Linked DNA regions of Neurospora crassa OR74A. The protein of the gene in region 1 interacts with the protein of each later gene in a pairwise test. Links are inferred from orthologs where the notes say so. Each region holds a gene or a part of one and is shown on either strand. Other genes may lie near its edges. The genes, in order: NCU07839 and NCU03092.

Region 1 (4,590 bases):
AAAACAAAAAAAAAAAAACCAAAAAAAAAAACAAAAGAAAGAAAACACAAAAAGAAAACAAAACAAAACGAAAACCAAGCGTCGGCTTTATTCATGTCCAGTCTTGCCTGCTTAATCAATCGCGTGAATAAATGGCTGTAAAGATTTGGTAACCAACAGACTTAAGGTGCTCTTCACGCTCCAGTATTAATAGTGACTTTTCGCTGCCTTTATCAAATGCACAAACCTCAACTTGAACATGATATCGAGCACGTCTGACAGCGATGTGCAAGCCCAAGAGACTGGAGCCGGAGCCGGACTGAGACTCGGCAATGTTGTCACTCCGGATGCAGTTTCCAATGCCGGCAATGCAACCGATCGGGCGCCACCACCGCTCTCACCAGGAGACTATACAGTGTACAACCGACTAGACGAGCGAATGGACTACTTTGTCTGTGCTCATCCTTTCCTGCACTCTATTCCTCGATATCAGATTGAAGTACAATCACTGTCGCTCGGTGTGGAATACGCTCGACACAGCTTGTACCTGTGACAACGGTAGTCAAGGCACAGCAGCACTGACTGAGCGACAACCCATAGAATGCGGGCTCCGTCACTCGCTACCTAAAAGCTCACCAATCCATCAAAGACTTGCATGGTTTCCTTATAGCAAAGCAAATGCCTCAATTGAGAGCTGCCATCAAGGCCCATAATCGTCAACGTCGTCATCATTATCAGCAGCAGCATCAGCATCGTAAGCGAAACGGAAGAAGAGTATCAGGGGGGGCCAAAGGAGGACATGGAAGAAGCAGCGAACCATGATTTAATCCAGCAACACCGTACCATTCACTTGGGCATGGAGCAGTTCGAAAAGGACCTGAAGAATTGCAGGAGCAAAGAGAAAGCGTTTAGTCTGCTGGTGCTGGAGCGTTTGGATCAGGAGGTGGAGGAGTTGGGGCGGAGAGGAGAAGATGAGTAAGTTTTGGGAGTTTGGAGGGGACGGAGAGATTGCTGTTGTCCGAAAGAAACCAAGAGGGCAAGTCAGGGAAGGGGCTTGAAGGTCGTGAGTAGTGTAGTGATCGAAAAATGTTTCAGGACATGGAAGTGGTGGTTTGTGTTGAGAGAATGTGGCTGATGGTGGTGGACTAGACCAGGCGGTGGTGATGGATTTATTGCCACTCTTTGTGTACGCAGTAGTGTACATCCTGGTCGGCTGCGGAACGGACTGGAAGTTGCTGCTCCCAAAGTCTTCAGATGAGGTGGGAGATGGATGGCAATATGAGGCCTAAGTACGGCTGTATACACGTGTAGAAACATGCTAGCATCGAGCATGGACATGTATGTGAACAGGCAACTCCTATAGAATGTGGTCAAGATTACAGATTCTCTTTTCCGTTCCCTGACAGCTGAGGTGAGCGACGACGGATGATTGCCCAACAACCGCGACGCGCAGCAAAGACTGCCAAGCATAATCCGCCAGTGAAGCAAGAACGAGAACCCTTCTGGCAAAGCGGAGTCGGTGAACCAGGTGACGCCAATTCCCGCAAAGGTGGACTTCTGCCTGATTGATAAGGCCACACATGCCTTATCGGCGCTTTATCTGTGCTTATCTGTGCTTGTCAACAGTGAAAGAATGCAGGCCCGCCAAGTGTTGCCAGTCGGGTCCAGTTTTTTTTTTCTCTGGTGCCAGACCGCCCCTACATGGAAGTCTGGGGGACAGGTACGGCAATGCCCGGTCCCCTCAAATCCGCCTTCGCTGTAACGACTGCAGTGAACTGAAGGGAAGGGAAGAAAAAAAAAATATTTTTCTGGGGCACTTGCACGCAAGGGACGCGTTGCGCCTTCCGCCTCCAACAAAAAGAAAGACTTTTTCTTCCCGCTTGGAGGCGAGTCGGGTCTGGCACAGGATCCGCATCTCACATCCACTAGCACTGCACAGCGGAACCCACCAATCCTCCATCGACATCTCCCTTTGGTCAGGTTCTTTTCCCATACTAACCTTACGTGACGGGTCCTTGTCCAGTGCCCCCAGAGTTTTTTTCGTTTCGACTTCCGTCCAGAAAAACTTGCACTTCACCCTTCGCAGCAGCCCTTTTCTTCCTTCCTTCCACCCACCCTCCATCTCCAATATCCCTTCCCGCCTACTTCTTGCGATTCTGCAAGATTCTTCATCCGCGATCCTTCTTTAACCAGTCGGACTGCTTACTTGTAACCACTTCACGCGTGTCGTTTGGTTCTTGTCTCTAGACGTCTGTCTTTTCCGACGTCTTCTTTTCCCGACAATCGATACCCTTGCGCCTCTAGGCCTTGTTTGCTCGTCGTTTCGGTCTACCCTTCAGCAACCCCAATAACAACCGATCTTCAATTTTCAACCTTTTCTTAAACAACCAGCAAACATGTCCGGATCTTACGGCGGCGGCGGCTACGGTGGCCGCGGTGGCGGTGGTGGTGGATATTCTAACGGGTACGATCGCAATGGCGGCGGCTACTCTAACAACTACTCCTCACACGGGTATGATGTTTTAGCGCGAACCTGCTCATTTCCTCTCTCTCTCTCTCTCTCTCTCTCTCTCTCTCTCTCTCTCTCTCTCTCTCTCTCTCTCTCTCTCTTTGCATTTCAAGATCAAATTGCTAACATCTGGTTCAACAGTGGCTCGAATGGCTACGGAGGCGGCGGCGGAGGATATGGCGGCGGTGGTGGTGGCTACGGAGGCGGCGGCTACGGTGGTGGTGGCGGCGGTGATAGGATGTCTGCTCTCGGTGCTGGTCTGCAGAAGCAGAACTGGGACATGAGCGCTCTTCCCAAGTTCGAGAAGTCCTTCTACCAAGAGCATCCTAGCGTCGCCAACCGATCTCCTGCTGAGGTCGACAAGTTCCGCGCAGACCACTCCATTGCCGTCTTCGGTAACAACGTTCCCAAGCCTGTCGAGACCTTCGACGAGGCTGGTTTCCCTCGCTACGTTATGGACGAGGTCAAGGCTCAGGGTTTCCCTGCTCCTACTGCCATTCAGTCGCAGGGCTGGCCCATGGCCCTTTCTGGTCGCGATGTCGTCGGTATTGCCGAGACCGGTTCCGGAAAGACGCTCACCTACTGCCTTCCCGCCATCGTTCACATCAACGCTCAGCCTCTCCTCGCTCCCGGCGATGGCCCTATCGTCCTCATCCTCGCCCCTACCCGTGAGTTGGCTGTCCAGATTCAGCAAGAAATCTCCAAGTTCGGCAAGTCGTCCCGCATTCGCAACACCTGCGTCTACGGTGGTGTCCCCAAGGGTCCCCAGATTCGCGATCTTTCCAGGGGAGTCGAGGTCTGTATCGCCACCCCCGGCCGTTTGATCGATATGCTCGAGTCTGGCAAGACCAACCTCCGTCGTGTCACCTACCTTGTCCTCGATGAGGCTGATCGCATGTTGGACATGGGTTTCGAGCCCCAAATTCGCAAGATCATCGGCCAGATTCGCCCTGATCGTCAGACTCTCATGTGGTCTGCTACCTGGCCCAAGGAGGTCCGCAACTTGGCCGCCGACTTCTTGACCGACTTCATCCAGGTCAACATCGGTTCCATGGATTTGGCTGCCAACCACCGTATCACCCAGATCGTCGAGGTTGTTTCCGAGTCCGAGAAGCGTGATCGCATGATCAAGCATCTTGAGAAGATTATGGAGGGCCGCGAGAACCAGAACAAGATCCTCATCTTCACCGGCACCAAGCGTGTCGCCGACGACATCACCCGCTTCCTCCGCCAGGACGGCTGGCCCGCTCTTTCCATCCACGGCGACAAGCAACAGAACGAGCGTGACTGGGTTTTGGACCAGTTCAAGACTGGCAAGAGCCCTATCATGGTTGCCACCGACGTGGCTTCTCGTGGTATCGGTATGTATCCATCTTACCCCTCCGCCCTGCCCAAACCCCTCCCCCCTTCTTCTCTCCCCCATCTCAGGCGACTTCCAGCATACGTACGTGCTTGTGCTTTACTCTTATGTCTAGGGGCTCTCTTGATTGCGCGAACTTGCCTGACCTCGTGTCGACTTGGTCTATCTGAGTGGAGTCTTGGGTTCGTGACGTAGCAGAAACAGTGGACTATGCTACGCCCGCGTGATTCTTCAATTGTACCTTTTTATCCCAGTTGTGGTACAAGCGAGGAGTAGGCATTTCTTGATTCCCGTCAAGCTTGTCTCCAAGATTCCCAAGGGGATTTGCATGCATGGCCCAAGGATCTCTGGAACCTTGGATCCCAACCCGGCATATTTTTCGCAATGGACAGCCCACCTGCCAAGGAGAGAAGTACTACCAGAGGATCACAGAACATACCTAGATATTCGTGTTCTCCGTCCGTTCTGGAATGTCGTTATTCCAAACCCTGCTATTGCTAACCACGGTCCTTTAAAAAAAGATGTGCGCAACATTACTCACGTGCTCAACTATGACTACCCCAACAACTCCGAGGATTACATCCATCGTATCGGCCGAACTGGTCGTGCCGGTGCGAAGGGTACTGCCATTACTTTCTTCACCACTGACAGTAAGTGTCACCTGAATCTGCCCATCCTTAGCCGAACGAAATTCTAATGTTATCTCTCCACAGACTCCAAGCAGGCTCGTGAGCTCGTCGGT
Region 2 (4,294 bases), on another chromosome or scaffold:
ATATTCCCCAACAAATGCTGCAAAGAGAGGAGAGAACGATTGTATGCAGAACATTTACCTTCAATATCTGGCATCATGGGGACAGCCATACGCATACACGCATCATTAACCTTCTTAATCTGCTATTTTTTTCATATTTTCTTCATATTTTCTTCCCATCTTGGTTGTCTTTTTCATTCGGGACTCGGATTTGATCTTGTTATTTTGGTTACCCGATTTGGTCGCAGGTCTAGGTTCTTTTTTTGTTGGTGTTGCGTGACTTTGGCTTTAGTTTGGGCTTGTTTGTGTATCGACTGTTGAGATGACTTGTAGACGAACCGAGTTCATCGAATTCAACTTTTTGGGGATTTGCTTCGTGACACTTTGGGAGCTATCGCGGTCAACTGTGACCATGTTGAAACACGTGACGAATGATCAAGACTTTTGTGAACGAGCAGTTTTTTGAAGATCCTATCGACATACATACACACAAGTCTACGCCTCAAAATACCACATCACATACATAACGGCAAGTCACATCATTGGAACAACACAGTTACTGAACAATACTTCTTTCTTGCTACTTCTAGTCCGTTGGGACTTGGGTATATGAAACAGGGGAAGAGTATCAGATTACTTACCGGGTAATGTTCGTTAAGAAGGATCACCCGTGTTCTGTACCGTTACGCCATCGATGATGTATCGTGAAGGGCAAATGCTGATATGAAAAAAAAAGAAAAAGAAAAGACCCGAAACCCATTTTAAGTGCCCCCAGGTGACCCCGTGATTGTACCGGAAAATCCCAAACCAACTTTTAGATGCCCTCTTTAGTAACCCCACAGGAAGAAGCAATGACAATAGTATGCGGAAAAGAACAGGAAACGATGAACCACCCTCGAAGCACAGACTGGATAAGGCTGTGTGAACACATGTTTGTGGCATGTGCAAGTACAGGTCCTCGCTTTTCCGTTCTTCCGTTTTGTCAGCTAAAGCCCACAAGAGCCCACGAGCCCACAGAGTACTTGGAACCCATCATTCTTCTGGTATGCATCGAATCCAAAGTGCAGACGACCGCGCAAGGGTCATGGAACCAGCCAACAAGCCCACCGGCAGAGGTCCTAACTTTCCTGTTGAGAAAGAACAGACGTGCCATGTACGAACGAGCTGTCAAAGAGCTACCAGCTCACCACCATCTTCAAGCCCTCAGGTATCGCTTGCTTTCCCTGCCACGCAGCAGGGAAGCAGTTATCTCTCAAAAAGCCCACGATCTCCCACGAAGGAGACACTGTAAGATTTCAAAAGCCGACAACCCACTAAGCCCTCCAGTGCGAATCTGTGTTTCAATGCCCTCAGGTTATGGTATCACATTCCCCAATGTGTGCGGGAATCCCACTTGACCACTTTAGAAGGTGGTCTTCTTGCCCTGGAAGCCACCACGGCTGCCACCGAAACCACCCCGTCCGCCACCGCGGCCACCGCCACGGCCACCGAAGTCACCACGGCCACCACGGCCACCACCACGGCCACCGAAACCACCACGGCCACCGCCACGGCCACCACCGCGGCCGCCGCCGAAGCCACCACCGCCACCGTTGTTGTCACGGGGCTTGGCGTAGTCGAGACGGACGGGACGGCCATTGAGGTCGGAGCCGTTCAGTTGCTCGAAAGCGTTCTTGGCATCCTCAACGGAGTTGAAGGTAACATAGGCGAAGCCCTTGGGGCGGCCGGACTCCCTAGAAGACTGTTAAAACTCTGCTCGGCAAAGATGCACACAAAGGTATAGTGGGATACTCACTGGTCAGTAGGGATACGGAGGCTGGCAACGGAAGCGACGGAGTTGAAGAAGTCGGAGACGACAGACTCGTCGGCGGAGAAGGGCATGTTACCGACGAAGAGGGTGTCGGACTCGGGAGAGATGGTGTCACCGTGCTTGGCAGCGCGGTTGGCGGCCTTGTCTTGGGGCTTGTTGCCGGCATCCTTGGCAGCGAAGTCGAGACGCATCTCACGGCCCTCAAGAAGAGCACCGCTCTTGGCATCATAAGCCTTCTGCGCCTGCTCGTTGGTGGCAAAGTCGACGTAGCCGAAACCGCGCGAGCGGCCAGACTCACGGTCAGTGACGACGCGAGCGCTCTTAGCACCCTCGCAGTCCTCGAACTCAGCCAAGAGGATAGCATCATCGATACCCCAGCCGAGGTTACCAACCCAGAGGGTGCTCTTGTCGTCGGCAACCTCCTCAGTCTTGGCCTTCTTGGGAGCCTCCTCCTCCTCGGAGGACTCCTCAGCCTTGCGCTTCTTGGAAGGCTCCTCGGACTCAGACTTCTCCTCGGACTCGGAAGAGTCAGAGTCAGAGTCGGAATCGGAGTTGTCGGAGTCGCTCTCCTCATCATCGGACTATAAGCAGACGTGGGTTAGCAGATGTATACTATGAAGAGGAAGTTATGTTGTACTCACGCTCTCCTTCTTCTCCTCCTTGACGGCGGGCTTCTCCTCCTCGGAAGTCTCCTCAGACTCGGAGTCGTCAGAGTCAGAATCGGAGTCAGAGTCGGAAGACTCGGCCTTCTTGGTCTCCTTGGCGGCAGGAGCGTCGGTCATCTCCTCATCGGAAGACTCATCGCTGGACTCATCCTCGCTGGACTCCTCCTCAGAAGACTCAGACTCGGACTCCTCCTCCTCGGAAGAGGACTCCTCCTTCTTGGACTTCTTGGAGGGCTTCTCAGCCTTGGTGGCCTTGACGGGCTTAGCAGCCTTGACGGGCTCGGCCTTGGCGACCTTGGTGGCCTTGGTGGCCTTGACGGAATCCTTCTTGCCCATGATAGCGGTTGTTGTAAAGTGATGTGATGAAGTGATGGAATCCGCTAAAGGGTATTGAAGAAAAAAGAAGGATGAAGATGATGAATGGGATAAAGGATGCGTCTGAAGAAAAGAAATTTCGTCGGGAAGACTGCTGTTTAAATGGGGAGCAGAGGGTGGCGGGTACCGTAAAATCTCTGGCTGATCAACCTACGGCAGAAAAAAAAATCGTTATCACACTTTGATATGGGACTTTCTAGTGGGGCAGGGGACCTGGGGCAGTGGAGGATCCGGGTGGAGGTTATGTACACACGCGAAGGCGGTGGCCCGCGCACGAGCCGCGGTGGGGAAGTTCGTTCCACCTGAAAGTTCCTTCCCATGCCTGCCACGGCCCACGACCCCCCGTCAATTGCAACTTTACTGCATGGTCCGAAAGACGAACAGCATTTGGGCTAGCGCGTCCCTGCCTGCCTGGTTTCCCAGGTGTGCTGTAAAGCTCGAGCCACCATACGACCGGGGCACCACTTGGAGCTTAGAGATGCGCCGTGTTGGTTGCAACGGCATCATCGACGAGACGAAAGTGCGGGACGATAAGCTGCGTCTCTCTCCCTCTCTACAGCTTTGTTTGACGACAACTTGTGCTTTCGGTCTTCTCTCGCGAGTCGCCCACATCTAGCAGCAATGCCTACTCCCGAATCGGCGGCCTTCCTGGCCAAGAAGCCCACCGTCCCGCCCACCTTTGACGGCGTCGACTACAATGATACGAAGCGCCTGAAGCAGGCCCAGGATGCCATTATCCGCGAGCAATGGGTCCGAGTTATGATGGGTCGCCTGGTGCGGGAGGAGTTGTCCAAGTGCTATTATAGGGAGGGCGTGAACCATCTGGAGAAGTGCGGACATCTGAGAGGTGGGTACAGGAGTGCTTCCCATCTCCCGTGGTTCTTTGGCGGCAGAACCATTCAGCAATTGCATGCAATCAGCCATGCGATGGTGCTTTTTCCCCTTCTCTTGCTGACTTGTTTCTGACACAGAACGCTACCTCCAACTACTCTCCGAAAACCGTGTCCAGGGTTATCTTTTCGAGCAGCAGAACCATTTCGCGAACCAGCCAAAGCAATGAGTTCTCCTCCATCATTCTGGGAGCAGACCGGAGGGTACAAGCTGGAGCGAGCTGATTTGGGGCTGAAATGATCTGGGCAGCGAGAGTTTTGGCAGGGCAGTGCGCTCGAGAACCGGAGAGCGAGTCAGTCATGGTCGAACCGGGAAGGGGCTCCATAACATCGCGGACCACCCTTTCAGACGTTCGGCTTCAGCAACCCCCAGAGGAGTGCTCGGGCCCTTTAATGAGACTTACGAGCAGGCATGTAAATATTAACAGAACTCGGCAACAACAGACACACGGGGGACTAGAGGAATAACAGGACTCAATTCGGCCTCCCATTTTTTTTATTTTTTTCATTTATTCTTCTGCACGTATGTTGTCTGTACAGTTCGCAGATTTGGACTATAGAATACATAAAGTGCT

The links.
Region 2: the proteins of NCU07839 (region 1) and NCU03092 interact in a protein complementation assay, tested with the Saccharomyces cerevisiae proteins (2 studies listed by BioGRID). The link is inferred for Neurospora crassa OR74A from reciprocal best matches to the Saccharomyces cerevisiae genes DBP2 and NSR1.

Annotation. Positions count from the first base shown.
Region 1 is NC_026503.1:1,035,798-1,040,387, forward strand, and holds the start of NCU07839 (ATP-dependent RNA helicase dbp-2), read left to right. Parts: upstream 1-1,671; 5' UTR 1,672-2,375; coding exon 2,376-2,491; intron 2,492-2,629; coding exon 2,630-3,849; intron 3,850-4,369; coding exon 4,370-4,498; intron 4,499-4,561; coding exon 4,562-4,590. Other genes in the region: NCU07838 (hypothetical protein), read left to right, coding at 779-954, 1,291-1,342. UniProt on the Saccharomyces cerevisiae protein: ATP-dependent RNA helicase involved nonsense-mediated mRNA decay and ribosome biogenesis through rRNA processing. Associates directly with chromatin, correlating with transcriptional activity.
Region 2 is NC_026501.1:4,517,936-4,522,229, forward strand, and holds NCU03092 (nuclear localization sequence binding protein), read right to left. Parts: upstream 3,027-4,294; 5' UTR 2,791-3,026; coding exon 2,431-2,790; intron 2,371-2,430; coding exon 1,775-2,370; intron 1,713-1,774; coding exon 1,382-1,712; 3' UTR 536-1,381; downstream 1-535. Other genes in the region: nuo12.3 (NADH:ubiquinone oxidoreductase 12.3kD subunit), read left to right, coding at 3,451-3,676, 3,801-3,889. UniProt on the Saccharomyces cerevisiae protein: Involved in pre-rRNA processing. Specifically binds nuclear localization sequences. Candidate for a receptor at the nucleus that may be involved in both RNA and protein transport. Binds telomeric sequences of the type (TG[1-3])n in vitro.